Lonchura striata: one gene and its partners. The protein of the gene in region 3 purifies or fractionates together with the protein of the main gene of each other region. This does not show direct contact. Links are inferred from orthologs where the notes say so. Each region holds a gene or a part of one and is shown on either strand. Other genes may lie near its edges. The genes, in order: ATR, CDC45, RPA2 and ATRIP.

Evidence for each region.
Region 1: the proteins of RPA2 (region 3) and ATR purify together in Homo sapiens (affinity purification with western blotting; 3 studies listed by BioGRID, with this or other methods). This does not show direct contact. The link is inferred for Lonchura striata from reciprocal best matches to the Homo sapiens genes RPA2 and ATR.
Region 2: the proteins of RPA2 (region 3) and CDC45 purify together in Homo sapiens (affinity purification with western blotting; 3 studies listed by BioGRID and IntAct, with this or other methods). This does not show direct contact. The link is inferred for Lonchura striata from reciprocal best matches to the Homo sapiens genes RPA2 and CDC45.
Region 4: the proteins of RPA2 (region 3) and ATRIP purify together in Homo sapiens (affinity purification with western blotting; 5 studies listed by BioGRID, with this or other methods). This does not show direct contact. The link is inferred for Lonchura striata from reciprocal best matches to the Homo sapiens genes RPA2 and ATRIP.

What each region holds. Positions count from the first base shown.
Region 1 is NC_134612.1:12,839,876-12,847,762, reverse strand, and holds the start of ATR (serine/threonine-protein kinase ATR), read left to right. Parts: upstream 1-4,887; 5' UTR 4,888-4,895; coding exon 4,896-4,954; intron 4,955-5,593; coding exon 5,594-5,685; intron 5,686-6,587; coding exon 6,588-6,731; intron 6,732-7,270; coding exon 7,271-7,887. UniProt on the Homo sapiens protein: Serine/threonine protein kinase which activates checkpoint signaling upon genotoxic stresses such as ionizing radiation (IR), ultraviolet light (UV), or DNA replication stalling, thereby acting as a DNA damage sensor.
Region 2 is NC_134620.1:7,541,744-7,549,641, forward strand, and holds the start of CDC45 (cell division control protein 45 homolog), read left to right. Parts: upstream 1-4,885; 5' UTR 4,886-4,948; coding exon 4,949-4,999; intron 5,000-6,201; coding exon 6,202-6,261; intron 6,262-6,558; coding exon 6,559-6,651; intron 6,652-7,068; coding exon 7,069-7,206; intron 7,207-7,790; coding exon 7,791-7,898. Other genes in the region: UFD1 (ubiquitin recognition factor in ER-associated degradation protein 1), read right to left, coding at 6-94, 455-502, 806-871, 1,392-1,460, 1,943-2,015, 2,411-2,541, 2,851-2,972, 3,364-3,396 and 2 more. UniProt on the Homo sapiens protein: Required for initiation of chromosomal DNA replication. Core component of CDC45-MCM-GINS (CMG) helicase, the molecular machine that unwinds template DNA during replication, and around which the replisome is built.
Region 3 is NC_134628.1:5,394,939-5,402,215, reverse strand, and holds the start of RPA2 (replication protein A 32 kDa subunit), read left to right. Parts: upstream 1-4,263; 5' UTR 4,264-4,307; coding exon 4,308-4,323; intron 4,324-4,485; coding exon 4,486-4,598; intron 4,599-4,671; coding exon 4,672-4,773; intron 4,774-4,897; coding exon 4,898-5,011; intron 5,012-5,455; coding exon 5,456-5,530; intron 5,531-6,258; coding exon 6,259-6,372; intron 6,373-6,656; coding exon 6,657-6,767; intron 6,768-6,852; coding exon 6,853-6,947; intron 6,948-7,277. Other genes in the region: SMPDL3B (acid sphingomyelinase-like phosphodiesterase 3b), read right to left, coding at 487-667, 809-981, 1,530-1,673, 2,164-2,261, 3,618-3,910. UniProt on the Homo sapiens protein: As part of the heterotrimeric replication protein A complex (RPA/RP-A), binds and stabilizes single-stranded DNA intermediates that form during DNA replication or upon DNA stress.
Region 4 is NC_134614.1:7,102,305-7,109,787, forward strand, and holds the start of ATRIP (ATR-interacting protein), read left to right. Parts: upstream 1-4,471; 5' UTR 4,472-4,483; coding exon 4,484-4,760; intron 4,761-5,957; coding exon 5,958-6,043; intron 6,044-7,044; coding exon 7,045-7,215; intron 7,216-7,483. Other genes in the region: protein BTG1, read right to left, coding at 696-1,048, 1,174-1,291. UniProt on the Homo sapiens protein: Required for checkpoint signaling after DNA damage. Required for ATR expression, possibly by stabilizing the protein.

The DNA of each region.
Region 1 (7,887 bases), on a different chromosome or scaffold from region 3:
TGGTAGTCCTGCCCTACATTTATTTAATCTGTTTATGTAGACCTGGTGATTTTTGGAGCTTTTAAGGAAACAGTTAACATGGACGTGAAGTATTTCAGACATTATGATGAATGCTATGAAAGTATTTTATTTAATTAATTACTGCAATAAGAAGGGCAGAACATTACACAGAGACTTCACATGAAGTCTTACATATAAGAGTATGCCTAAACTTTTCACTTTAGGTATTTCCATATAGCAGGCTGTTAAGCTGATGTCTAGTCTAATGACAAAATCCTCAGAGAGTAGTGAAAGCTCTAGGTACTGGGAAAATACTCACCAAGGAACAAAGAAGTGATAAATAGTGCTCCACTACATACAGATTTAATTTACTTGCTTTCCAAAAAAAGATGGAAAAAGGACAAAGAACATGAATTCCCATTCTCCCTCCTCCATTGCACCGATTTCTATAGTAAGCAACACAATGGGGAAAGTGGACATTTAGCAGAACTTTTATCAATATCCTCTTACATAAACTCTATTCCAGTTTTCACCAGTACAGAACACAGAATCAGATGGAAAATTGTAGCTTCTAATAAGACTCTCAGAAAACAATAACTTCCTGAAAACTGGAGCAATGGTAGCTGGTAGAGTTTTTCAGATTTTCATTGAAGAAATATTAGAATAAAAGAACCTACATAATTTCAACAGTTAGAATTTTCAAATGTAGTTTAAATGACATTTTAAATGCACACTGCACAATTTTAGTACAGAATTTTAGACTTCAAGGGATGTTTAAACATCACTGTGGCTACAAGTTTTTTTTTAAAGAGTAAATTCCAGACTGTAGATTTTTATTTAGGAAAATAGATTCCAGGAATTTTAACTTTCATTCAGAAATTATAAACTAGAAAAGTCTTGATGATACACTGATACTAGTGGTTAATATAGCTCTGAGAGTTTCCTCCACAGCTACTAGCCTCAAGAATAACACTCTTCTAGAAATACTGGGAAGCAAGAAAAAAGTAAGGAAAAAATATATAGGCAACTATTTTTAAAAGTAGCAGTCGCAGATAAACAAAGAAACAGTAATTGCTGCTACACAAATAATAAAACTAGGTTCCAAAAAAATCTATAATCTGCCATTTCTCCAAATGACTAAATACTGTATTTTACATTATCAGTATTAGTAGGCTTATTCATAGAAAAAACATGAATAAGTGCTTGCAGGACTAGGATCTGACAAGATTATATTTAGAAATTAAATAGATTTTAGTAGTACATGGTTTCTTTTCCCACTTTTTTTCCCTCTTGTACGGGTGTACGTAATCTGCTTTTAGGTTTCTGGCTTGCCTGTTGTCCTTACCACCATTTACTGTTTCCATTTTTTACTGTCTTGTTTAATCATCACACCAATATTCAGGGTGACACAGAATTTTAATCTGTGCCACTTCATTCCAGCCCAGTTGACTAAGCAACAGAGGCAGAGATAAAAGGCACGAGTGCTGAGATCCACATTCTTACAGTGCAGAGGAGCAGTGTCCTGTGTCCAAAGGTCAGGCACCTGCATGAGTGCCTAGGGAAACGTGGCTTGGAGCACTCAGCCTCTCGGTGCTACTGCAGCAGCCCTAAGCACACCCTGACACTGAGTGAAACTACTTAGTCCAGCTCACAGGACCCCCGAGCACCATCTGAGCTGCATTTCCCCTCACCACCGCTGTCAGCTTGTGAGGTCACAGCTCTCTGCTCCTGAAGCATCAGGGATCACTCATGTGCACTTCCATGGGATCCTTTGGTCTGCCCGCAGGACAGCTGAGATGGAACTGCAGTCACACCAGCCTCCTGGGGGAACAGCTCACACACATCCACAGAGCACATGAGCCCCCAGAACAGTGATCATGCCTCAGAATTAAACAACAGAGGGAATAAAAGTACAATTAACATGCTCTTGTCCTCTCAGACCTGCTGGTCCAATGCAAAGTCACTCAGTGTCTTAAAATAAGTACAATGACCAGCAGAGGCATGTGGTAAATTAACAATGAAAGCCAAGAAAGAGAGAGGCCTGAGTGGAAGAATCATGCAACTATAAAGTGAGAGGACTTCTCAAGTAGGGAAGTGAACAGAAAAAAAAAAAAAAAAAGAGTAAAAAAAAAAAAAAAAAAGTAACAGCAGCTTTAGCAGAAATCTTGGAAGTGCTGTATCTGACACTGAATTTGACATTTAGGTTGTACCTATCTGCATAAATTTCTTCCCCTGACCCAAGTTCTACAAGATGGGCTCTGCTCATCTAAGCCTCCTTTCACCAATATGAATCAGCTTCGGGACAGTAACGGAAGGTCTCCAGGCACACTATCTTCATTAACAATTAGTGACTCTCTTTGCACACGTGGTAACATGCCTGCTTCTCCTCTTGGGGGTCAAGAGACATAAAGTGCAACACAATGAGATAAGAAAGAAACAATGAGATGCTTATCCCATGTTTAAGAAAAGCAAGAAATGAAACCAGGTGTTTCAGGTGCTGTTTCCCTGGAGGGTCTATACAACGCTAGGTTGTGTGAGCATCCTCACAGCCCAATGAAGTTGTTATGGGCACTCTCATGTGGAATCTTCTAGCACCATGGTAGCTGGGGAAATTTGATGGTATGGTGAAAAGTCAGTAGATGGGGCTTTGCAACTGGGAAGTAAAATTCCCAGTAAGAATGGGGAGCAGAAGATCTCTCTGCTGATTGTTAGAAGTACTTATTATAAACAAGAAGAAAGCCTGAATTACATGCTCAGTAAATGCTCACAGAAACAACACAACAAATCCATGTAGCATTCTACCTGTGACAAATGAAAGCATTTCTACAATAACTATACTAATATGATCTCACTGTTGACTCCAGAGACTCCCATGAAAAAGCACTGTTTAAAATTAAGCACTTTATGTACCACACCTATGTTTTACCAGCAAAACCAATCACCTTATGATTCACTAAATTTAGCTTATTTCTTAGGATAACAGGGTCTTCTTGAACTTCCTAATATACCAACAGTATCCTGCTCTCTCTTACATTCATCAGGGCTGATACATGAGTTTTAACTCTACATTAAATTGGCATGCAGTACAGTTTACACCTTCCTTAGTGTGACTGTCATTTCAGTCTTGGAAATTTGCACTTCAGAACATTGTTTTCACAACAATAGATACTTTAAATTGAAATGGTCTAGAAAATCTTGTGTCCAAAATAACACTGATAACAAAACCCAGATGTACTTGGTCTTTCTGAACCATTAAAATCCTACTTTAACAAACCACATAAAACAGGGTTCCTGTTTTTTCTCTAGGAATTACTCTAGAAAGACTAACATTTTACAAAGTTAGCTAGTAGAACACATTGCAATACATGCTGAAAACCAAACTAAGATAAAACCCAGTTATATTTTGTAAAGTTTCTTTAAGTATTTTAGGTCCTTGCCAATTTACCGGCCTTTAAAGAGGCCAGCAGAATTTTACTGAAATGACAAACATATATTTTGCAGAATAAAAATAACTATCTCTGAATGAAATATAGCAATAGGTTCCCGAAAGCATTAATCTGAAATGGTTCAAGTAATTGAAACACACGTGGGCTGTTTTACATGCAAGCGACACAGCCCTAGCACAGTGGAAACACGCAAGAGAATTATCCTCCGAGAGGATTTTATTTCAACCCAGAAACAACGCTAAGCAAACTTCACAAACAAATGCATAAAGAGCCAGAGCTCATAGTAACAAAAACAAAGCTCAGAGTTGAGTGTCCCCTCGCGTACTCTCTCTGCAGTTCACACCTGCCCATAAGCCCTTGTTTTATTCTTTTTTCTCCTGAACGCTCGGGACTCGCTGCCCAGGTGGGGCCACACGCTCCCGCTCAGCGCCCGCCTCGCGTCCCTCCGGGGCTCTCCGCGGCACCTTCCGAACTCTACACACGCCAACGGCTCGCAAAAGAAACGTAACGCAAAGCAACATGTGCTCAGAAAGTAACAACAACAGCAAAAGAGAAAAGCTCTATCTTACACACGCTGCTCACCACTACCTGTGCGGAGGAGCGCCGAGCGCGCTCACCTGCCGAACGCGCCCGCCCGCCGGCTCCGCTCGCCCTCGGCCCGGCCCCGCTCCCGCCGGCCCCGGCACACGGCAGCAGCCGAGAGCGGCCCCGGCCCCGCTCCCGCCGGCCCCGGCACACGGCAGCAGCCGAGAGCGGCCCCGGCCCCGCTCCCGCCGGCCCCGGCACACGGCAGCAGCCGAGAGCGGCCCCGGCCCCGCTCGCTGCCCACCTGCCCCGCGGCCGCGTCCCGCAGCGCCGGCGCCCGCCGGGTCCCGCCACCACCTGCTGCCGCGGGCCAGCCCGGGCGGGCGGGGCGATGGCGGGGGCGGGCCGGGGGCGTTGGGGCCGGTCCCGGCGGCCGGCGGAGCTGTCCTGCACCTGACACCCGGGTGCGTCCCGCCGGGGCGGGCAGGCGGCGGGCGGAGAGGGAGCTGCACCGAGCGCTCCCTTGGCAGCGAAGTTTCTCCTCACAGCGCGGGCGCTCCCCTCCTCGCTTAAGCCACTTCCAGCGCTGCGGCGCTTCCTGTCGCGCATCCCGTACTCCGCCAGGCGCCCGCCGGGACCGTGTGGCCCCTCAGTGCTGCTGCCGAACCGGCCGAGGCCGGGCGGGGTGCGCTCGGCCCCGCTGGGTGTTACCTGTCCGTGCAGCGCTCCGCGCAGCAGAGCCCCGCCGGGGCGGCGCGGGGTCCGCGGGAGCCATCGGGGACCGATTCGGAACCGCCGCGGCCGCTCCGCGCCCGGGGACGAAGCGGTTAAAGCCGAGCAGCGCCGGGGGAGGAGGTTTGGGCCCCGCCGGCCGCCGTCCCGCCGCGCCCGCCCCGCGCCGCCCGCCTGATTCAAAGCGGCGCCATGGCGGAGCAGGGCCTGGGCATGGCCTCCATGATCCCCGCGCTGCGGGAGCTCGCCGGGTAGGCCGGGCCCGGCGGCCGCCGTGCAGGGCGTGTGTGTGCGGGGCTGGCTGCGCTGGGGAGGCGCGCCCGGCAGGTGTGGCGGGGAGGGGGACAAGGAGGTGTGCGAGGTGTCCTGCGGCCGGGCCCGCGCCTTCACCTGAGCTGGGCCCTTCTCCCGCCACCTGCCCGGTGCTCCTCTCTCCCTCCCGGGTGGCGCTGGCACATCCCGGCGTGAGCGGCCTGGTGCCTCAGAGTGCCCGGTCCGAGGCTGCGTGTGCTGTGAGCGCTCGCTGAGAGCCACGCGAGCTGCAGCATGCCGGCCTCTGCAGTGTTAATGGCAGCACGGGCACTGTAGCTTTGTACAGCAATAAACAGCGAGCTGATGTGGAGGTACAATTGTATACCGAAGATGTGACCCTACGAGACCTGATTGCTGTGGGACAGGCCAGTCACTAAAACAAGAAAATTGAAAAAAAACCCCAACCACGCCTCCCCCCACCTTCAAACCACTATACACCACCAAGAAAACCATTTATGTTTATTTTTGAAGACTTCTAGAAGAAAATGAGTGTTTAACATTAAACTGTTGAGATAGACTTCCAAGTTATTATTTTGTACTTTACAATTGGTAACATCAATATATCATTCTAATTGCAGTGCTAGTCCAGAAGAATACAACACAGTTGTGCAGAAACCAAGACAAATACTTTGCCAATTCATTGACAGAATTCTTACAGATGTAGATGTTGGTAAGCATTGCAATCCTCTAATATAAAACTGTCTGCTTTATACTTTAAGTAATTCCTGCCAAAAATAAAAGTTAAGACACTATTAAGAAAGTTTTAGTTGAATACAATGCCATTTTATTACCTAGTTTTTAATAAAGTCAGTGATGAAGTATTTCGCATTGGGATGTGAAGTTCCCTTGTAAATAAACCATACACACAGACCCCCAAGGAAGGAGGGGTGAGTGTAGTGCAGGGTTGTATGGAAACGAATGCTCACAACATTGAAAAGCAGGAGTGTCATGTAATGTCACTGCTATGAGTAACAGAGCTTGCAATTCTTAATATTCACATGTGTCTTTCAGAACTAAAATCTTGTCTGAATCTCAGATAGTTTCCTTCTTGTTCTAACTAACACTGGATAGGATCCCTGCAGGATCTGGATAAATCTGATACGAGTCAGATACCTGTTTCAATGGAGCAGCATTAGATATGTTCAGTGTTTTGTTAAACTTTCTGCTTCAGTAAGCTGACTTTGCCATTTAAAACCTTTTATATTCTGGGCATTTGAAACAATTCCCAGCATTGTTTTTTTATCAAGACTGTAAACCTAGGGAAATGTTAAGTATTTGCTGTTCTTCACTCAATACACAGTTGGATAGAATTTTAACTGAATGTTAATGCGTTTGGGGTTAATAATATTTAATAAGTAATTCATACTTTTCTTCATACAGTTTGGAGTCACAGAGAGGGTTACAATATGCATACAATTATCTTCATAGATTAATAAACATATTTTCAATAAATATTTTGAAGGGTTTAATACCATATCATAATATTTTATATTTTTTATTTTCTCATAAAGTGTAAGCGCAATTTTATGTGGTTTATTGCCATGCTGATTTCTTCTTTTTTTTTTTTTTAAGTTGCCTTGGAACTGATTAAGAAATCAGATTCACAGCCAAGTTCTGTGATGTTGCTGGATTTTATTCAACATATCATGAAGTCTTCCCCACTTATGTTTGTAAATGTGGATGGAAATCAGGAGGAAACTGAATGCAGTTGCATTGGTGAGTTTGTTGAAAATGTTTATGTTGAAGCTTGGTATTTTCAAGATTTAAATTTGCAACAGAATGGGAAAAAAGGCAGATATGTAAGTTGATCATTATAAATTTATAAGTTAATATGATGATAGACTTTGAATATTGTGAATGGATTAACACTTGTGATAATGGAAATTTCTCGGGACAGATTTTGACATTATCCATTACCATTGCATAGATATATCATTATATACTGTTGATGAGATATGGTGTACATGTACTCATTGCCTGAGGGTGTTTTTTGGACAGAGGAAAATGTCTAGAAATTCCACTGTAAAGTGTGTGTCTTACATTCCCAACCCCCATGTTCTTCCCCCTCTTTTTTTTCCTCTTTTTCAATGAGATCTGCTGAATAAATATCCCAGTGAAGACTCTGTTTACGATGCCTACATGCATTTCTCTCAATGTGTTTAGTTTTAGTGGTAAGCAATCTGCTCTTAGGGAGGTTCTCAGTTGGAGAGTTTAGTTTTTATCTTAATAATAAAGATTCTCTTTTATTGTCCTAGAATTTAGTAACTGGATCATAACAAGGCTTCTTCGTATTGCTGCAGCTCCAAGCTGCAACACATTGCACAAGAACATTTGTGATGTCATCTGCTCTTTACTTTTTCTGTTTAAAATGAAGAATGGCTCCATTTTTGAAGCACTAACTAAAGACTTGCTACAGCTTTTTCAAGACTTAATCATCTTGCATGAAAGAGATACACAGAAGCATCTCTGGGGAGATGGACTCGTCTGGCCAGTGACTGTACAGAGATTTTCCAGCAATATAAGTGACAAAGTGGGATATTTAAGATTGGCACCATTACAGCTGATGAGTATGCCAAATATAGAATATTTGGAAGTTGTATTGATGTCTATTCTGACAAATATTGTTGCAGATATCTTTTTTTTTGTAAGACAAGATATTATTCTCTGGGGGATAGGCTGCTCACTGTTAGAGTATGGCAGTCCAAAAGTTAAAACTTTGGCAATGAAGTTTTTGGTGAAGTTAATTCATTTAGGAGGACCTCCAGAACAGCTGGCCAGTGTTTTCTTCACGGTCTTTTTTGAAATTCTACATTCAGCACTTGAAATGGATACTGAGGAATCGGAACTCTTTGGAGAACCACTCTTACTGTTG
Region 2 (7,898 bases), on a different chromosome or scaffold from region 3:
GATACCTTCGGATGTCTCCTGGTTTAATTGGTGAGGGACTGGGCTCCACACCTTTCTTCTTGCCATCCAATCTGTTCCCAGATCCAGAGAATGCCTGTGGATACATAATCAGTTTTAATTGAACTCCTGGCATTTGAAAGCACACTTCACAAGGACATTATATCTGTAAAATCTTACAGCAATTTTTATTTAGTTATTTAACTCAGCATGATTCTTTTTGGTACATATAAGCTGATGAATCATGGGTGTAGGAGTCTGTTTCAACCTCTCATCTGCCCTTTGCAGAGAACAATTCATGCTGCTCCTGGCTGTGATGACACAAAACATTCACAGGCACTTACCAGTTAAATAACAAGCATCTATAAGAACAGGTACTGATATTTTGCAGTTGTTCAGAACAACTTTCCCTCACCATTTTACAGGATTCAGAAACCAGCAGAAACAGGGCACTTACACGAAATCCTATATCGCTCACATACCCACTGTGGTCTGCTTCCACATCCTGTGAGGGGAAAAACAAGTTCATGTTGTTTGTGTTCTGACATGCACATGCCATGAAAACTGTTCCAAGTATTTCTGGCCAAACAAAACTTCAGAACAATCACTTGTCAAACCAAGACACTTTCTTAAAACAACAGTTGGTAAACACCAGTCCCCTAAGTAACACATGCAAAGGCTTCTGGCAAGTAAAATTTACTCTACAGAACTTGTTTAAATAAAAAAAAAAAAATTATGTTGGCACTTCCCCCACAGTCAACAGTGACTTCTAGGGGATGCATTTTGGAAGAACAAAAGTTTAACATACTGCGGTCTCTTCATGTTGTGCACTTCTTTCTGGTTCTTTGTATCCCAAAGGAGCATCAAAATCCACCTATTTACACAAGAAGCATGAAAAAACCCATTATTAATATTTTTCATTAAATCATAAGCTTTATACTACTATTCCTCAAAACTTCATGAACTATTACCACTGCGTTTGAGCTAAAAAGAACTAAGGTTTGGTTGTTAAACATTTTAACTCAGAACTAAAAAAAGACCAAGCCTACTAGGAATTAACCTTAGCATGTAATGGAAACAAAGCAGTAAAACAGCTCCACAATATCACTGGAGTGTGAGTCAAGACAAGGCTATTAAATAAAACTCAGATAAAACATGCCAAAGTTAAACATTAAATTCTAGGCATGGTAGTCACCTGATGGTGCATGAAGTACTAATCGGGATCACAGAAGGGGTTACAAAGGCACATGAGTACTCCCAAGTGAGTCATCTTCCCCACCCCATGGATTGCACCTTTCTTGCAGCATCAGCTGGGCTGGGTGTGCAGAGCTATCACTGCCTTCCCCTCTTGGGAGGACAGTTAAGGCAGGCCTTCCCCATCAGCTTTAACTTACATTCATATCACACTCTATGATGGACACAGCCTTATCTGGTTTGGTCTCCATTACCCGAAGCTCATAGATCTGAAACAGTCATAGATATTTCAAGATTGCATTATGTGTAAGGAAAGCATATCTAAACCTTCCCCTCCAGACCTGAAGTAAGTACTCTTTAGGTTGATAAGAATAAATATTGCAGGGTCTCTACAGAATTTAAAAGCAAAAGTTTTTAGAAGCCAGAGAACCCATTACTGCACCTTGCTGCACTCTTACTGTACTTTAACCTCCATTTTTGAAAACAAATTCTGAATTTAGGATAAATTCTTTCCCTTCACTTGTGAAAACTTCAACAGCACAAACATTTATTTTCTTGTGAGTCCAAAGAAATTTAAACAGCAGCTCAGAAAAAGACTTAGCTGACTCCTTTTTCCCTCCAACAGAAAGCCAACTGTGAAATCTGCCACGTGGGATTACTTGTCCAAAACACTGCATAGCTCTGAGTTGATTGTTTTAATACCAACATCCAACACTAATAGTAGTCTACAACCCTCAACCTTACACTGTACCTTTTCATTGTAGTTGATGGCAATCACATCCCCAGTAGTTAGACAGGCGAAGTTCCTCAATGCATTTTCCAGTCTTTGCAGTATGTTAAGATGAAATATTTATTTTCAGTGAAATATCAAAGCCTTAAAATCACCATACTGTAGATCACTAATCCTTAGTTTCTCAAACATGGTTTAAAAGCCATCAGTGCATATAGGATTTTAGGATATATAAATTCTTCAAAGGGGGACTCAAAACTCATTAGATTTTAAGCCAACACTCCTCCTTCTTCAGACCACACTTTGTTCCAACAGTTGACCACATCTCTGTACATCAGCTCTGCATCCCTTTTGTTTTCAGAAGGGGCAGCAGTGGCCATGTACTACTGGAAGTGTATGAGCCACGTAAGACAAGCTCGCTCTGTTTCATCATTCCAATTTGGAAGCAAATTTTTTCTCCTTTATTCCATAATTTAATAGGAAGGATACACAGCTTTGGGATTGGTGATGTCAAGAAAATCTGGACTTTGTGGCTGAAATTTTGAGTAAGTAGCAACTTGCAGATTCACACTCTCCACTTGCACCAGGCCTCCTTCTTCCAGCAGCAAATTCTGCATCATCTGCAAGAATGGAGACAAACACACACAGCCCTATCAACGTGTCTGATATTTTCAAATCTCTCTCCTGTGTATATCAGCTCTTGTGTATATTCAATTTCAGGAAAAACAGTCAGGTGAACGTTAAAAGCAGTCTGCTTTGCTAAGTTAAACTTCTGCAGAAGGAAGCCTGAGCCAGAACTGAAGGCTGTTGTAGGAACACAACCAGCAGAGACAGGCACTGTCAGGAAACATTCACATCCTTAATATTAAGCCTGGCAACTCCCTAATCCTACTTTTCAGGTTCTGACAGTCCAGCATGAGGCAGCTCACCCAGTGTGGAAGGTAACAGATGCCCTCGTCAGCCACAAACTCAAGCACTCCACAGTGAGTCATTCTGTCTGAGTTCTTGTTGGTCAGCTTGAACAGCATGGGGTAAGTAATATTAAGGCGGCCTAGTAAGAAAGGAGAAAAAAGTTTGCTTTGTTAAAAGCCCCTCTGAAAGCTCTGAAGCTTTCAGAGATCAATCACCAAGAGAATGGGCCCCTCGCACCAATATCCCAACTGCTCAAAATACCAGAGAAAGCAGATGTACAACTCCAGTGTTGGCACGGCACTCAGAACTTTAAATGCTCAGGGAGGCCAATATTTCATATGTCTGTGCTTGAAGGCAGAAAAGCCCCATGAATTCTGACAGAAAAAATACCTTTAAAATACATTTCTTAAACTAATTATTCTCACAGTACTGATTTAAGACTTAAATAAATAAGTAAAATACTGTGGTATTTGCCTACACATTTGCTCCTATTTCTAATATTGTTATTCCAGAATAATGCATTCACTTACTGAGTTGATCCAAAGCTGATGGTGGCATAATTACTGCAGAAATGAATAAGAATGTGAAATTAGGAAAAGTACATCTGTATAAGAGTACATAACACACAATTTTATCCTTCCTTTCTCTAAAATCTCTTTTAAAAAAAGGGCAGATTCTACAATCTTCAAATTTATTTTTTAGACAGAGAGTTCAGTAGAATGAGTCATGACAAATATCCCTGCAATGTGGATATTTCAGAATTACAATCAGGGAAAAAACAAAAGAGAAGACAAGGTTTTACAATATTATTATTAAAGAATTACTTTCCCAAAGCTAATTTTATTCGTTAGGGCTCCCAACTCAAAACAACATAGCATTAGTCTGACACCTTGAAAACTAAGTGACTTTCTTTATACAAATTAAAAAGCACAACATGGTGCAGGGGAGAAACTCCTCAATCATAAACTTCCATGGCTCACACTAGATACAAGATTTTAAGAAGAAATTTTGTAGATGAAGTCTGTTCCTTCTGATACTCATAAACCCCGAGTCGGTAATCATTTTTAGTTACCGAGTAATGCATGGCACATGACCCCTCCTCCTTCCTCAAACCCAGCCCAGGGTGCTCAGCACTCTGTCACCGTGTTTTCAATATTCCTGCTGCCTTGGCCAAAAGCTGCAAGACTTGAAACTATTCAAAAACACTCTTCTAACAGTTTATTAGTCAAAATAAAACATGCACATACTCTTCCCGCCTTTCTCCACATCTGACCTGTCATTAGGTCCGGCAAGCATGGATACCGAGAAGCAGCGGTACTGGGTTGAAAAACGGTTCTGGAACACCCGGGGAATGGGGTGGTCAAACATATTAAAAGAGAACTAGAGGGGGAAAAACAACACACAGAGAAGAACGCAATCATCAGTATCTAGAGCACACAAAGCGACACAGCACCCACTGAGGGCTCCTGCAGTGTCGCCGCCGTGACGCGGCCCCTCCCGGCCGCCCCCCGCTCTCACCATGGCGGCGGCGGCGGCGGGCGCTCCCTCGGGGCCGCCGGGCCGGGCCGGGCCGGGCCAGCGCCGCTCGTTCCCCTCACGGGCCGTGCCGGGCCCCACCCAGGCCCCGCCCCTCCCAGCGTGCCGCGCGGCGCCGCCCACTCGGGCGGCCATTGCGGGTGAGGGCGGAAGATGGGCCCTCGCGCCCTCCGACGCGATCATCGTCAGGAGTCTCTTCTGCTCGCTAGGCTTCTCTTCGGTCACTGGGTGTTGATGCGGCCCTGCTGCCCCTTCTCCGAGCTCCCTTTAATGGCAAAGCTTACAACTTGCCCTCAGAAAAGATGGCGGACACAGCGACAAGACCAGGCCAGGGTGCTTCCGGCCAAGGCCCTCTTGGGATTGGTCAGCAGCGAGTATCGTCACCGCATTCTCCGCATTCCATTGGCGAGGCCCAGGAAAGGACTTGGCATCTCGCTCTGCAGAGGCGGGGTGGGCGCGTTCCTATTGGCCAGCGCTGCGTGAGGCGCGGACCAATGAGAGGCGGCGCTGGTTTGGCGCTCAGTTTGAGCGGCGCGGCCCGCGGCTGCCGCCCGTTCCCGCCGCGCTCCCGTTCCCGCCATGTTCGTCTCCGACTGCCGCCGCGAGTTCTACGACCTGATCGCCACCCAGGTGCGGGCAGCGCGCCGGGACCGGGCCGGAGTGGCTCCCGGGGCGCCCCGGCGGCGGGCGGGGCCGCCTCCCCTGGGGCTCTCCCCGCTCTGTGTTCTGGCCGCCTCACGGCGCAGGGTCGGTGCCCGCGGTGACTGAGGCGCTGCGGTGCTCCGGGGCGGCGGTGGTCTCGCTCTGGGGCCGCAGAGCGGGGGTCGGTGGCGGGGAGCACCGGCCGGGCGGCCGCGCTGAGGGCGGCGGGTCCGGCTGTCAGCCGGGTGGTTAAAATCCCTTTCCCGGGTGTTTTCCCCTTCCCTACCTTGGGAACCCTGGACAAAGCAGCGTCAGCGTGATGAGGTTTTGCCGGGGATTTCACTCAGGGTTCGCCTCCTTCCGCAAAAGTGTTCTTGTGTGCTCTGGATCTCAGGCTTAACCATGACATCGCTGAACCATTTAAAAAAATATCTTTATAACCATTTTGATGTTATTTGCCCAGACACTAAATACTGTTTTCTGTTATCTTTAATGTTTTTCCTGCAATCTTGTAGCACATTTGTTTGCTGCTTGTATTTTTGCAGGGCTTGGTTAACTCCTTTCACTGTGGTAAGGTGGTGAAGCTTTTATTGGACAGTCTTTTAACATTTCTACCAAGGAAATGATATTATGGACTGTGCAAATGAAAGCATTTGTCTTAATTTCTCCAGCTGAGCAAAACGTCAAAACACTCTTCCCTGAAGACCTAAAACAACACTCTCACAAAACAAACAAAAAACCAACCAACCAACCCTCTCCCTGCCGCCCCCAAAAAAATACCAGCCAACCTTGATTTAAATGAATTTATTTCCCTAGTTGCCTTGCTTTTGCTACAGATTTTTTTAGTTAAAACTGTTGCAAATCTGCTGAAAACGAAGGCCATTCTAAACACTATGAAAATAATTGTAGGGCTTGACTAGGTGTGAAACTGTGGAAGTATGTGAGGTCCAGAGGAAACAGTAATTACCTATCCCTAAAGGAGCTGACACATTTTGGGTATAGGTGGAGTTGCTTGTTTTTAATATTGACAGATATCCAAATTTTGGTTGCAGGTCCATTCAGAAGCAATCTTGTTTTATGCTTGTGATGATTTCTATCTGAATTTCTGGTGTCTCAGTGTTCCATGGATTTCATGTACCAGCATGGTCTATTTGGCACCTATTCATACTATTATTTTGTTATTTTTACAGCGTGTTCTTCTTCTTGTTGCTTCAGATGTTGATGCATTATGTGCTTGTAAAATACTCCAAGTAAGTCTTGGTTCATTATCACTGCAAGCTGACAGTATGAGAAAATATGTATGCCCTAGGATCCTATACATGGGTGTGAACTAAGGAGAGGGGGAAGCTTTAATCTGCTTTTGTAACATTGGTTTCCATGAGTTATGGCACTGAAAACTGGGGAGTCATAATCTCAGAGCTCATATAGATTTGTCATTTGGGGTGGTTTTATTTTAAGGGTTTGTATAGAATAGACTCAGCCTGGTGTAGCATTGTAAGAGAGGCTGTTTCCCCTCCCCTCTGCTCACAGCTGTTGCTTCCTTGCAGGCTTTGTTTCAGTGTGACCACGTGCAATACACACTCGTGCCAGTGGCTGGGTGGCAAGAGCTTGAAACTGCCTTTCTGGAGCATAAAGATCAGGTGAAAAAATACTGGAAAATTTTTGGGCTGTAGCTCATCTTTTGTAAAGATAAACTGCTTTCCTTTCCCAATTTAGAATGTCAACCCTTAACTTATTGTTATTATTGTTATGGTTTCTTAAAGCTCGTTACATTTTAACATACCAACAATAAACTTGTCAAGTTTTTAACATCACAAATGTGCTGTAGTGTTGATAGAGTCAAATGGAGTTTGCACACATTTTGAGATAAAAAGGTGCAGGTTTTTGTGTTTTGCTTTAAAAAAAAATCTGCCTCAGAGGCATCAAATATTAGAAAATAAACAGAAGTTTTGGCAATGATGAGTGCTCTGTGGGTTTTGTAAGCATATTTTCAGTTTTCCATGTTTTCTGGCAATTTAAGTAATGAGCTTCTTTTCTTTTTCTGCTTTTGTTTGCAGTTCAAATACTTTGTTCTTATTAATTGTGGTGCTAATGTAGACCTCCTGGAAATCTTGCAGCCTGAAGAAGACACTTTTTTTTTTGTATGTGACAGTCACAGACCGATCAATGTAGTGAATGTTTACAATGACACCCAGGTAAAACTTTGCTTCCATAATAAAAGCCTCCCCACAGTGTGGTGGTGAGCAGTGTAGTGCTTTTCTGTGCTTGCAAAACTGGTTAGAAATTAGCTTGTAGGTCAGAAAGCAGCATTAATAAATAAATATTTGCAGTAGTAATGTACATGACCAGAAAAAAAATCATTTTTCCACTAGTGAAATGTCTAAAGTTAGCAATGTGGTAGTTGTCAGTAGTAAGCACCTGTTAATGTTGTTGCTATAAATCAAACTGCCATAAATCAGAGGATAAACATCCCTCCAGAATGTAACGTGTATTATTTCTCAGCATCTGGCAGCACCTAGAATTTTAAGTATTAAGCATAAATTATTTTATTTTAACAAGCATTAAAATGATAATTTTTTCAGTAATGCTCTAATAATGGAATATAGATTTTTACTCTTATTTTCTATAAATCAGTACGGGAGTTGCATTAAAAACCAAAGTTTTGTTATGCCAGGAATTAATACAGCCTAAATGAATTTTTGGTTTCTTTTCTAAGTAAGATTGCATTTTGCTCACTAAATAAGATACTTACTCTAAAATACAGTTTTCTCCTTGCTAGATTAAGCTGTTAGTCAAGCAAGATGATGATCTCGATATTCCTGCTTATGATGACATCTTCAGAGATGAGGAGGAGGAGGAAGAGGACTCAGAGAATGAAAGTGATGGC
Region 3 (7,277 bases):
TGGAGCAGATTGCACTGCCAACAGCACCTTTGTCACCAGCTCCCAGTACCACCACACACACAGAGATTAACACGTGGAACCATGCTGGGGACTGAGCACAGGGAATGGGCTCTCCAATGCTGGCAAAGCCTCTTGCAGTGAGGGTGGCCAGGGAACCACACTCGACAAAGATGTTCGCCCAGAGCACCCCACACACACACAGAGATTCAGCATTGCTCCCTCAGCAATGCCCAAACCCCTCAAGAGGGAGCAGGCAAGAAGCTGCCAAGCATTAAGGCAAAATAATATTTGAGGGTGAATAGGAAGGAGGGCAGGAGCTACAGACTGGGGGTAGAGATGAGAACCACTGTTGCCTCTTGTTGCCCAAAGCATGTCAGATGCTTTTGCTGGCTTCTTAGCCGCTTTTAGCCAACAGCCACTAAAAGCCCTGATGGACAGTGATTGTGAGAGCTGTCACACAGGTGCTCGGGTGACCAGAACAGGTACCTGTGGGGCTGTAGAACATGCGAAAGCTGTCGGTGTGATGGTGCCCAAAGAACTGGGCAGCAATCACATTGTGGTGCTTCTGCACAATGCCCAGGTACCGCTCGTTAAAGCCCCTCCTGAACCAGGGCTTGCCCCGTTTCTTCTCGAAGAAGCCAGGGGGGACATGTCCCACAATGTAGACCTACAGAAGCAAGAGCTGCCCTGAGCACAAAGCCCACACCACCCATGGAGCACCAGCCAGCTGCAGCTGCACCCAGAGGGAGCAGAGCAGGAAGAGCTTCCAGGCTGGGGAGAAGCTTTATTTTTTCAGTCTTTTTAATACCATTTCATCTGCTCTAGAGGCGTTGGTCAGTGTTTCTTCCAGCCACTGGAACTGCCCCCCAGGATCCTCCTCACCAGCTGTCTCATCATTCTGGTCATAGTACAGGTTGGTGTTGAGGACAACCATCCGTCCCCTCATCCCTGGGCCAGGCAGCTTCTCACTGTAGAAAGCTCCTTAAAAATGAAACCAACAGAGGAAGAGCTGTAGATCAGCTCACATGGGTGGCTGTGAGCCCAGATCCCATTGTTTCCACCTCTCTCTGTTCTTCTTAGCAACAGCCACAGCAGGGTCACTGCTTGGGACGGTGCCCTGACCACTCCAGGATGTGGATTTGGAGTGAGTCTTTCCTGTGTGTCTCCCCAAGTGAAGGGAGACCTGAATGGGTACAATGGACAGCACCAGGAGCTGGGCAGCTCTGGAGAGCCCCAGCACTGCCTGCACCAGCTGCCACCTTTAAAGATATTTTTCCTCCCTTTGCAGGTCACCACTGCATTCTTTCCAGTAACTTGATAATGGCAGAAGAGACTAAAGTATAAAATAATTTCTCTTCTTGCAAGCAGAGTTCCAAGACAGAAATCAGCATTAAATTGGAGCCTACCTCTGCAAATTTTCTATGAATACTGCTGCTCTGAGCATAGAAACAAGGAAAATCGTTCATGGTATTCTCCTACCCCTCCTCATATCCCCAGCATGCTCTAAACACAAGCCAGTGGTGCCAGACCTGCTCTGAAGAGAGGAAGAGAGGCATCACTCAGCCAGGACTGCCACAGCTCTGCTGTTTGTTTGTAGATCCTGTGCTCCTTCCCAGGAAACTGATTCTTGGGGTGGAAGTCATGATTGCCCATCGCTGCGTAGACCTTGGTACCTGGAGACAGAGCCAAGGAGGGGCAGGAGGTCAGTGGTGCAGAGCTCCTCCAAGCTCCCCGAGGCACTCCCAGCCTTGGGAACAGAGCTTTGCCAAGGCAGCCATCCTCTGCCCCGGGCTGACACTGCCCAGGGCACCACATGGCTCGGACCCGCCCCTGGGACAAGCCACCCAGAGCCAAGTGACTGAGCTGTCACCAGCAGTAATGCTCCTTGCCCCCTGCTGACACAGGTTATGTCTGAGAGTTTCCTGCAGCCTTTTTTGCCTTCATTACTAACAACAGAAACCCTTCCTTTCCCCTCTCCTGAGTAAGCTAACCTGAAACATGAGTGTGCATCAATGCTGTATGGCACAGCAGAATTGAGGCCACCAAACAAGTCCCACTGACCACAGCCCTTTCCCTGTCTCACTTCTGTCATTTCTCCATCCTGGTTAACCTTTCCCATGAGCTTCTATGCTCCTCTTCCCTTCTCATCTCCTCAAATCCTACCTGGAAATGTCTCTTTTATCAGAGAAGTCAGATTTGCTATTATGTGCAGAACCTTTTCTTCTCCGAGCTCCTCATTGGGGACATGGGGAGTGTCATCTCTAGAAAAAGAGAAGCAGCACAGTCACTGTCTGGGACTAACAGGGTCTGTGCTTACAGCAATGAGCAGGGCACAGAACTTGCCAACTCCTCTCTGTGCCTCCTAGAAGAGAAAGTTTAAGCTTTTAGGTGCAGAAGTCAGTGCTATATTGACTGGCCAAGACAATGAGGGAGTTTCAAGAAATTGCTCACAGGGAAAATGAGCTCCACTCTAAACTTGCCAGAGTCAAGGAGTGCTCAGACAACACTCTCAGGGATGCACAGGGTGGGATTGCTGGGGTGTCTGTGCAGGGCCAGAAGTTGGAATCCATGATTCCTGTGGGTCCCTTCCAGCTCAGGCTGTTCTGTGATTCCAGGATTCGCTTTACCTTAAAACTCCTGTGCAGAAGGGCGTGAAGGGGAGGCTCCCTTCTCCTAGGCAGCACTAAAGCTGACTGGAAACACTGCAAGGGTCAGCACTTTGCAATCTGAGGGCATTTGATCTGCAATAATGAGGCAGAGCTGTTTGCACAGCTGTGATCACCATGAAACAAGGAAATGCCTCTAGTAATGCAGCAATCTAGGGCTGCTCCATGTCTGTGTCTGTACAGCATTTGTAGATGATGCTGGACTGTCCACAAGCCCACTGGAGAGAAAGAACATTCAAAATCATGTCAGAGGGCTGGGGAAAATTGCTTGAGGGAAAAAGAATACTCAACATAAGGTCACAAGAACCAATAACTACATCTAAGTAAGAACAGGCATCTTCAGGGACAGAAAATGAAAACATGAGATAGGTGACAGCCCTGCAAACTGGAACTGGAGATTACAGCAAGTTGAGACTGCACTATCAGAAGAAGGCTATCTACACAGTCACTATGCAAAACAAAACTTTTACCATCTGCAAATGCTATTGGGGCCTCCCAGAGGACAGGGGACCCACCCCTGGAACCCATACTAGGAGAGAAACATCCTCCACTGGGGAGGTTCCTCTGACTCCTGAAGCAGAACTGTCCCTTCAGGTCTCCCAGCCGCCTCGCAACCAGAAGAAACGCTACAAGCTGGTTTACAGTACTCTCCTCCCGCAGCTGCTTCCCCTGGGCATTCCAGGTGCTACGACTCACTGTGGGATCGGACAGGATGCACAAAGGACGGACAGCGTTTTGTCACCTCACTGCCACGAGCGTCTCGCCAGCGTCGAGCGCCCTCGCTGGGGTTGTGCTTTCCTCCAAGCCCTTGTTTCGCATTACAAGGCACGCTCTCCCTTTCAAAGCGGGGACCGCGTAAAGAGCCCCGACACACCACGGGCTCCGTGCGGGCTCCGCCGCCCCTGTCCCGCCCAGCCCCGGGGTCCCTCAGGCGGGCCCGGCCCCTCTCACCCGGTCCAGACCACGAAGTCCGGCGCGGCCAGGCGGCGCCGCATGGCGCGGGCGGCCGAGCGGAGCAGCCTCCAGGGCGCATCGCACAGGTAGCTGCCCCACGGCCCGGCGGGCCCGGCCCGACCGCCGCCCGAGGGGCACGGCCGTCCCGCTGCCGCCGCCGCCTCGTACCCGGGGTCCCAGTGCAGGTCCGTGAGGTGCCAGAACCTCCCGGAGCCGCCGACCGCACCGGGCAGAGCCACGGCCAGTAGGTACGGCAAGGGCAGCAACAGGAGCTCGCGCGTGGGCTGCATGGCAGAGACCGCCGCGGGCACCGGGGTCGGCCGGCACCACAATCCCGCCCTCACCAAAATCCCGCCTTCACCGGGACCCGGCCGGCACCACAATCCCGCCCTCACCGGGACCCGGCCGGCAGTACAATCCCGCCCTCACAGGGCCCCGGCCGGCACCACAATCCCGCCCTCACAGGGCCCCGCCCCCTCATCCGTGCCAGGCCGGGCAGCGCCCGTTCTCAAAATGGCGGCGGCGGCGGCGGCTTCCCCGCGCTCTCCTCCTATTGGACAGAGCCGGAAGGCGGAGGGATGCGATTGGCTGCCGGCCGGCAGAGCGGCGCTCCCGGATTGGGGGGCAGGCGGCGGCGCGCGGGGCCCGGCGCGCGGGCGGGCGGCGGCGGCGGTCCGGAGCGCAGCCATGTGGAGCGGGCACGGTGCGGGGCCGGGCACGGTGCGGGGCCGGGCGGGGCGCGGGGCCGGGCGACCCTCCAGGGGACACCCCCTCCGAGGGCCCCGCTTCCCGTGATGGCGGCAGCGCTGGGAAAGGGGACCGTGTCCCCGCCGCCGCGTCACGTTCCCTCTTTCTCCCCCCGTAGGGAACTTCGATGGCGGCTACGGCAGCATGGGCGGCGCGGGGCTCCCGGGCGGCTACACGCAGTCCCCGGGCGGGTTCGGGTCGCCCGCCGGAGGCCAGGCGGAGAAGAAGCAGGTAGGCCGGGCGGGGCCGGCGGGACGGGGCCCGGGGCCGGGACCGGCTCTGACGGCCCCTCCGCCGCTCGCAGCGGAGCCGCTCGCAGAACATCGTGCCCTGCACCGTGTCGCAGCTGCTGGCGGCCGAGCAGGTCGACGAGACCTTCCGGATCTGCGACGTGGAGATCTCGCAGGTGGGTGCCGGGGCGGTGGCGGCCGCCAGCAGCCGTGGCCGGCCGAGTGACCGACCCTTCCCTCCCCCGCCGCAGGTCACTCGTGGCCGGCCCGAGTGACCGACCCTTCCTTCCCCCGCCGCAGGTCACCGTGGTGGGCATCGTCCGGCACGCGGAGAAGGCGCCCACCAACATCCTCTACAAAGTGGACGACATGACGGCAGCCCCGATGGACGTCCGGCAGTGGGTTGATACTGATGTAAGCTTTGGATTTGCTAGGAACAGGCTTCTTGAGCAGCTCTGGGGAGCAGTGGGTGGACAAAAGCTGTAGAATTATACAGTATCTCGGATCATTGATGAACACCAACTCCCTACTTCTCACAGAGCTTTTTGAACCCAAAAGGTGTGGCTTTTCTGGAAAGTATTTTAGGGATAACGTGTCCCTGAAATCAAAGGGAGGTCCTGCTGCAGCAGAGATCACTGGCGGTGTATATGACTGTGCCTGTTTAGTATAGCTGAGTTCACTTGAACAGTTTTGGGAGGGTAACCAGGCAGATGTTCAGTCTTACTGCAAGTTTAGCATGACATAGGAATGCACGTTGTTTGTGCTTGCTTGAGATGAGCCTTCCTTGCTAAGTTGCTTCTTGTGACTGTTGAGAAATGGAAACAGGAAACAGCAAACCTGTTTTTCCCTGTCTGTTAGGAGGCAGGAGGTGAGAATGTTGTGGTACCTCCAGGAACTTACGTTAAAGTGGCTGGTCACCTTCGGTCCTTCCAGGTAAGAGTGTATGTGTACCTGTGTGTGAATCTTGTAGCACTCCATGTGGCACAAATATTCAAATAACGGTGTATGTGCATTTAGGGAAGGTGCAGATAATTCCCAGCTGCTTAGAAAGAGGAGTCACTGTCTCCATTGTCTTTCAAAATCACATCTCTCCCCCACTGCTTTCTTGCTTACTCCCAGTAGGATGGGGGGAATCAGAAGGGTCAAAGTAAAAAAACCCATGAGTTCAGATAAAAGCAGTTTAATAAGTAAAACAAGGAATTCATTCCATGCTTCCCATGGGCAGGCAGGTGTGCATCTTCCTCCTTCTTTCACCAGTTTTTTAACTGAGCATGACACTGGCTGGTCTCTCCCGTGGGGCAGTGGAGGTACCAGCTGTTTCCCTCACAGCTCCTTGTCCCCTCCCAGCCTAATACTGGTAGAGTTGTGTGAGAAGCAGGAAAGCCCTTGGCTCTTTGCAAGGGTTGGTGAGTAATGACTAAAACATCCCTGTGTCACCAACAATGTTTCCAGCACAAGTCCAACACCAGCCCATGTTACTAGCCCAAACCAGCACAAGAGGTGTGTCAGAACATTTTGGATGACCTACATACAGAGAAGGTCTTTCCCCACTGCTGTCCCACCCTCCTGGAGGAAATGGCTGGGTTGGCTGTTAGGCATTGTCATGTTGCTGTGCTGTAAATTGTTTTCTTTGTTTTGTGTTTGTTTTTTTCCTCTGAAAGAATAAGAAGAGCTTGGTAGCATTTAAGATCATGCCTCTGGAAAATATGAATGAGTTCACCACACACATACTGGAAATTGTCAATGCACATATGATCCTCAGAAAAAATCTTATGGTACGTACAAAGACCCTGATTTTATTGTGGCCCTTCCTGGGTGACTGGTGATCTCCCAAAGAGGGACCTTTCACTGGGAAAATTCCTTCATTTTGGGGCTGGAAAGCTTAAAGCTGAGCAACGCTGAAGGTGTAACAGGAGTCCTGGCTTCCTTGGAGAGAGATTGCAATCCACTTCCATAAGAAGCTATTTTTACTTACTGGCTTAGAAATAACAGTGAGTCTTTAACACTGCAGGCTTGGGCAGCCTGGGTAACCACAGCACTTTTGTTCTCCTAATTCCAGTCAGCATCAAGAGGGCCACAGTCATTTTCCTCCACTGGGATAAGTGACATGGGGGGCTACGGAGGAGGTGGCAGCCTGCCAGTGAACGGGCTCACGGCGCACCAGAGCCAGGTGGGTGCCAGCAGCTCTTCTGGGAGCACAGCAGTGGCAGCAGAGGCTGCTCCAGTGTGATCTAGTGTGGTTCTTGCTCATCCAGGTGCTGAACTTGATCAAAAGCTGCCATGTCCCAGAGGGAATGAGTCTACAGGACTTGAAGTTCCAGCTCCACAGTATGAGTATGTCAACAATCAAGTAAGTGTGTAGAAATGAAGGATGCTATGGAAATCCAGGCAGTCCTTCCAGAGGCAGAGAACAGTGGACAAGTCCAGACACTCACCTGTGAGTCAGGGTGGGTAATTCAGGTGGTCCCAGCAGCACAGGAGCCAGAGCTGTTGAAAGATTCACTGCCCTGAATGAGCTGTTGCCAGTTGCTTTGCTCCTTGTTTTCAAAACAAGCCTTTTATCAGTTCAGTGGCAACGTACTGCAGTGCCTCAGTAGCATTTCTCCTGTTCAAAGACTACCTTGTTCTCTGCACACTGATAAAAATCTAGGAATAGTCTCTCCTATTCTACTTCACTGTC
Region 4 (7,483 bases), on a different chromosome or scaffold from region 3:
TTAAAAGCCTGGGGAAAAAAAAAAACAACCAACCAAACAAAAAAAGCAGCACACCACCAAAACAAGTCAGAATAATTTTATCATTTAAGCAAGTCTTTATTTTTCTACTCCCATAGCTAGAAATAAGAAGAAAACTAATTCCCCGCTTCTTTTTGCTAAAATATTGGGGTGTGATGGAACCCAGCCCTCAAATAAATGCATGCTTTGAAAAAGGGAAAATAGAGAGTTATTTTGGTGATTTGTGCCTCACAGTCAAACTTGAATGACCCTGAGAGAAGTCTGTGCAGACAAATCACTGGATTTATGTTAGATCTGTTTCCTACCCCTCTTTGTGTTACTGTTCTGCAAATTGCAGATTTTTTTTTTAGCAAGTACTAATTTTGACTAAAACCCGTCATAAAGAGTGCTACAATATTGCTTTTTATTACAAATACGCAAAACTTTTTCGAAAATATAAATGTGTAAAACAATCCACCAACTGTACAGTGCATTTACAGGACACAGTTCAGAAAGGAACATGCAGTGTAAAGAATTGCTTTATACATTTAGCCCTTGGCCACAAAGAATTTGGCAGTACTACCATGATTTTAATGACGATAGGGTGAAAAAATAATTAAAAACAAAAAAAGCTCAGCTATATCTGACTTTACTATGAGGTTGGGATACATACAACATCGTACAGGGAAGAGTTGTTTTTAACTAGAAACTGTCATCATGTTGTAACTCTTGGAAGGGCTGGATCTGCCAATTCTCCACTCCTCCTTGCAGCTGGTCCTGCTCTCCAGCTGTTTTGCCGCCTTCCCTCCAGGCTGGGGGCTTTCGTACAGCACACAGATAGACCCATCCTCACCTATGCGATAGGACACTTCGAAGGGGTCGACCCACAGCGTTAATTCGCTGGGTAAGAGCTGGAAGAGCCTCTCGTGGCTCAGTCCGATCATCCCCGCCGCCTTTCCTATCAAGGGGTCCATCTTATGGTTGATCCTGATGCAGCGGTAGCCGGAGCCCTTGGAGGGCACCAGGGGGAACCAGTGGTGCCTGTAGTGCTCTGCGGGAGGGAACAAAGAGGAGCTTCTGCGCGGGGCTGCGCTCCGCCGGACCCCGCAGGATGCGGGAGGGATGCAGGGCAAGGATGCAGGGGATGGAAAGAGGGGATGCCCCCCCGGTACTCACCGCGCATCGCCTCCTGCAGGCACTCGCGGAAGCACCGCAGCTGCTCCTCGCCGACCCCGCCGGCGGCCCGCAGGAGGCGGGTCACGAACGCGGCCGCTGTGGAGATCTCGGTCCTCATGTCCGCCCCGGCCCCGCTGCCAGCGCCGCCCGGCCGGGCCCGGCCCCCGCGGCCGGGGGCGGCTCCGCGCAACAGCCGCACGGCGCGGGCGGGACGGGGCGGGTTTGTTGTGCTGCCCATGGGGCGGGATCGGCGCGGACGTACGGGCGGCCCGGCACACGGGCGGCCCGGCCAGCCGGGCTGCGCTCGGGGCCCGGCACACGGGCGCGGCCCCGCCGCTCCTTCACCCCAACGGAGTTAACGGGTGCAACGCGCGGCTGCAACGCGCGGCCGCGCTCCCGGCCCGGCTCTGCCCCCACGGCTCTGCCCTCACCGCCACCCCAGGCCAGCGGCGGCTCCTCTCATCCCTCCATCAGCTCCATCGCAGCCGTATTCCAGGCAGACGGCGCCGTTGTCCTGCCTTGCTCCCTTTTCCCTCTCTTTTCTCAGGGCCCAATACAAGCACAGACTAAAACCCCCTCCATCTCAGACACGCAGCTCCGAGGTCATCCTTGACAGGCGGGTTTTCCTTTCCCTCGACCAGCAAAAGACAAAACTCTTGACATTTGCCCAAAACCCAGAATACTCCCCTCCTAACCGACTCTCAGGTCTGGATCAAGATGCTGTTTTATTATAACAAATTTTCACCGAAGTCCTATTTGCATTTTATTACCTCATACTTTAGGAATTAAGCTAAAAATTTAATCTCTGCTGGTACCTGGACTCATTCAGTCATCCACTTCAGTTTTGATTTACTCCGTGTTTTGAGAATTAGAACACAAAACATATTCACATCAATCTTCATTGAAATAAGAGACAAAGAAACGCTTGCACTGGAGTCACAGAATTATTACTAGCATTTAGAATAAACTTACCATTAGCAGCACTAAGAACTGTCCAAATCCACACATAAGTTATTAAGCTTAATGCTTAATTATGCTAAAGAGGTTTCTCCTTCCACAATGTATGTGCACCCAAATGAATAAATGCACAAATTCCCTATTACCCCAGTGATTTTACACTTAAGTCAGTAAAACAAGATACTGCTAAAGCCAGGACAGACATTAAGGGCCCTGGTTTTAACTTGCTCATGAGTAAACTAAAATAATGGTAATAGTAGAAAGCAGATGAGTTGTAGCTAAAAGTATTGCAAGAGTCAAATGGTAATGCTAAAACTGCTTACATGGATTGAGGCCTGACACCTGGATCCATTAGTCCTAAGTGGAATATTCAAATGAAACAAGAAATTCTGGCTACAAAAATTAAGAATGCCACAGTTGTCAGGTAGCTTCTAAACTCACGCTTTGCTTTCTTGTGTTCTCCTCAGGGAGTTTCAGATTTAAGACTCAGTGTAAGCAAGACAGAGAAAAATGAGAAATCAGCAAATATGTAACTGTGTTACTTTCATCCCCCTGCCCAAAAATTATTCCATGAGCAGCTGTATTTAAATAAAATTCTACATGTCAGACTTACTTTGTTGTTATTCTAATCCTCTGCAAGTCATTTTCTCTTTAGCAGGAACACCTGGAGTAGAGGAAAACGAAGTCAGTATCTTGGTTTATCTTGTTAAAAATAAAGCCTGTGCAAGTGTTCTACCATTCTATTTTTCCTCAGTTTCAGCTAGCAGAAGAGGAGAAAGTAAAACTGAAAGTATACCACTCAGACAATATACTATTATTTAAAAGGAGCAATAATAAAAAATAGTCATACTATCATAATCCTACTAATTTATTAAACAAAAATCCTAAACAAACAAACAACAAAAACACACAAACAAAAACAACCCAGAATTAAGAACAAGTAATGTCTAAATCCAGTTCCTTTTAGATTACTTAGATTAAGTTCTCAATATATGTCTCTTTAAACATAAGCAGCAGAAACAGAGCACGAGAAATTGCCAGGAGAGGTTTTAAACTAAACAAGAAATTTTGTTTTTATTCCATCTGTTCAAAGCATCTCTCTCTAAATATAAAAAGATGAAACCATTCTTAAAAGCAAGGAGAAACTTTATGGCAAGACTAGAAAGACAAGCATTATGTTACCATTCCCATTAGAGGGAGAAAAGCAATAATTCCAAACATAAATAATAGTACCTTCAGTGTTTTGAGCAACAAAAGCATTCACAATTCCCCCAGTTTGGTACATAATTGATAGAACAACTTCTTGGAGAAACAAAAATAAACCTTTAAGCAGCACCTCAAAGCTAAAGTGCTACAAGAGCACCTGCCCTCTGAGGCTGCCCCTTCTGCGTGCACCTGAGCTGAGCGGATGAGCTGTTCCCACCTGCTGATTCCACTGGGATCCCTGCTGCCACTTCAGCACAGCTGGGAGCGATGGCTCAGGGCTTGCTTTGGGCCCTACCGGCTCCTCACAGGCTGCTCATGCACTGCACGGAAAAAGAAAATTACCTCCAGTGATAACCCAATTTCCCTGCATGTCACGGGCAATAGCGAAATGAGCAAGAAAAATCAGAATTCTATAACACAATTGGAAATATGTCACACTAGCACAGTGGTTTTCACTTCAAAGACCATCAAGGGGTTTGTAAACTGATTTGTAGAAATGAAAAAAAATTGTAGCTGTGTTTTAAAAACGTGCTGTAAGACTATCGTCTGGTCTCCTCTTAAAAGGTTTATCAACATAGCTGTGGCCTCACACCACGTGAGTTATAGAGCTGGAAACTCTGTTTTTCAGTCCACATTTAAAAACGGGTCATATATGATTACAAAAGCAGGTTAACGCCAGTAATTTAACCATGAGGGTTTAGCACAGGACTTTAGCAAATACTGCACTTCCCTGACTCTCCTAGAGGTCCCAGTTTATCGAGGGCAGTCGTGTCTGTGGCTGCACAGGACGGGTCACAGCCGCCCTGCGGCTGCGGCGTGACGTCATCGTTCCCGGGATGAAGCCAGGTCTGACAGCAGCGGGACAACCCTCGCCGTGACGTCACCGTCCAGCCTGACGTAATCGCTCGAAAGCGTGACGTCAGCGCCTTCCCTCACAGCGCTGAGGGGACAATCCTTCCCGCCTCCGTCTCTCCCAATCAGCGAGGCGCTTGCATGTCGGCAGCTCGCGGCCAATCCTGGGAGCGCTTATAGCCGGCTCTGAAGCTGCCGCCACTCTATTGGCTGTGTGGGAAGGGCTGCCCGGCGGCGATTGGCGGGAGACGCGGCGCGCGAGGGGCGCGGCCGGGGCGGCCCCGCGGGTCCCGCCATGGCGGCGCTGCCCGGGCCGCGCAAGCGGAGCGGCTCCGCGCTCTGCGGGGAGAGCGGCGCTGCGGCCGCCCCGCCGGCTCTCCGGAACGTCCTGCCCCCGCACAAGCGCCCCAAGAGCGCCGCGACCGGGATCATGGACCCCTTCGGGGACAGCGATGACTTCACGGCGGACGACCTGGAGCAGATCGACATCCTGGCCTCGCAGGCGCTGTCGGAGGGTCCGCCCGCGGGACACGCGTGGGGAGCGCCGGAGCTGCCCCCGGGCGCGCGGCAAGGTCGGTGTGTCCCGGCGGCTGCCCCTCACTGCCCCGCTGCTGCCGAAGCGTTCGGTGTCCCTTTAGCAAGCACGGAATGGCTGGGTTGGCAGGGACCTCAAAGCCCACCCAGTGCCACCCCCTGCCACGGGCAGGAACCCCTTTCACTGTCCCAGGCTGCTCCAAGCCCCGGCCAGCCTGGCTTTGGATACTTCCAGGGATCCCGGGGCAGCCACAGCTGCTCTGGGCACCTGTGCCGGGTCCTCACCTCCCTCACAGGGAAGAATTTCTTCCTAATATCTAACCTAAATCTCTGTCAGCGTGAAGCCCCTTCCTATTGTTCTGTCACTAAAGGTTCTTGTAAATAAGACTTGCTCCATCTTTCTTGTAAGTTCCCTTAAGAGAATTAATTGATCCTGCCCGTTCCCCTGGCCACCAGCACCCGACGGTGGTACGCCCGGGGTCAGAGGGATGGCTGGCATTCAGAGGAATAACGAGGATAACAATCCCAGCAGGAGCACTGCATTGATCCCACAGCTCCAGCAGCCCTGCCTGGGGTGTGTGTCGTAATGCCAGCCTGGGACAGGGGTGCTGCATGTTAAACCTGCCAAATAAAAAACTCGAGTTTCCTAAACTTTCAACATGCTTTAGGTGTTATATTCTAGTAGCATGTTGGCTTTCAGATTTTCTTTCCCCTCTTATTTTCCACTAATAAATGCACAGCATGCCTTGTATTAACAGCTGACTTTCAGGTTTATTTTGAAAGAAACAAAAGCAGGGGTTTCTTCATAATGAACCTTAGAGACCTTAAGTAATCTAAGTATGTTTTAGCAACCCTGACATCTGTCACCAGGTGAGTTAAATTTTCAGTGAGCCCTTGTTTGTGCATTCACTAAAGTTATCTCAGAAGAAATGCTTGCTTTTGCTGTGGGTCATCTTGGTGGTTTAAGATACGAGATGATCTTTAAGGTCCCTTTCAACCCAAACCATTCTGTAATTAAAAATTTGAAGGGGCAGGGATTCTTCTGTTATAAGAATTGATGCACATGCACTAGCAAAATTCCTGTGGTGACTAGATGGGGCAGTTTACCTGTTTGTAATGACAGTAAAATACTAAGATATTCAGATGTATGCAATGACAAATAACAAAACTTGGTGTTAAGTCACCAGTGATGCACATTCATCATCTGTGCTTCAGATTTTGGCTTTTCCCTGCAGCAGGAAGCAGAGCAGAAGATGGTCTGATGAGAGATGCATTCCAGTTTGAAGTGCTGCAGACACAGCATGAAGAAGTTAAACGGAAGGTTGGCAATATCCTCCCTTCTCCTCTAAATATTACATTTTTGATAGGAACAACTGAAAGGTGGGATAAATCCAGTCCCAAGCATTTAATTCTAATCAAGGTGATCTAATTTTTGTAATCCAGGGGTGTATTAAAATACAATAATTGTACTAGAAACAGCTTCAGTAATACTAAAGAGTGAGAACAATATTTTATTTCTTGGTAATTTCAGATTAGCAAATGCTAATTTTTCAGTTTTATTTGTTCCCTATCAAATAATTTCTCTGCTTTATCAGCCAGAGTTGTTTTGTTTAACTTAAAAGGTTTGAGAAAGTGAGGTGACTTTCAAGTGGCTTTATGTTACGTTACCTTCCAGTGGTCATTTATGGAGAGATTCTCTGTTTCCCTTTCTCCATTCTCTGTATCTGTCCCAGCTCTATTATATCCACCTTTATCAGGGAATCTCCTACTTGTATACTGTATTAAATCTTAATATTTCAGTTGTAGAGAAGTGTCTTTCTGATCTTTTCTTCTTGCTTTTCTGAGTAACTTCTTTATTATCCTCAAAGTCTTGTCTCTGAGTGGTAGTGGCTGCTCAGGAAATGTTAGAGACTCAATGTCATGAAGATTCTCTCTGGGGGTGGTACCTTCTCTTAGAGTGCTTGTTGGCTGTCCTGATGGATGTAGTAGTGTAATTAAATTATCACTGTTATCATCCAAACAATGAATTAATTATTGATGTGTGTGACTAGAACACTTTTTTTTTAAAAATCCAAAGCATAATTGCAGAGGAGGGGAAAGATAAGGATAATCTTGTAATTTTGAATTATGTTAAAGAAAACAGTAGCTGAGCCTGATTTAATCAGGGAAAAATTCGAGGTAATGTGTAGAATTTCTGAGCTAGGTTACCAGGAGCATTTTTCTTCCTAGGAATTACAAATACACCTAATTTTCAACCACATATTGATGCAAATGCATACTTTTGGCTATATCCATCCTTTAATGTAACTCCTCTGTTTGCAGCTGAAAGAAATGCAGGATGAAATTCTCACTAAAAATGGAGAAATTAAAATTCTGCGTGACTCAATGCAGCAGATGGAGTATGCTATGGAAGAACAGAAAAGATCATACCTGCTACTGGAAGAACAGAAATCTCAGATTTTAAGTGAAAAAGAAAAAGAGTTCTCCAAAAAGGTTTGTAAATTTGTCAGTTACCTGCAGATCACTTGCAGAAGCTGATTTATGACTTAAAGATGTCACAGACCATTTAGTCAAAGGAACAACATTTGTGTGAAATTTCCACAATGCTTGCTTTTATTTTCTTACCTAGAAGAAAGTATTTGTAAGAACTTGTTGAAGGTTTTCCCCTGCCAAAATAAAGTAGTGAAACTCAGGTGGTAGAGGTTTTCATTTACGTACTGCTTTTTTGAAGCCATCCTGAGAACATTGCAATTGGAATGTA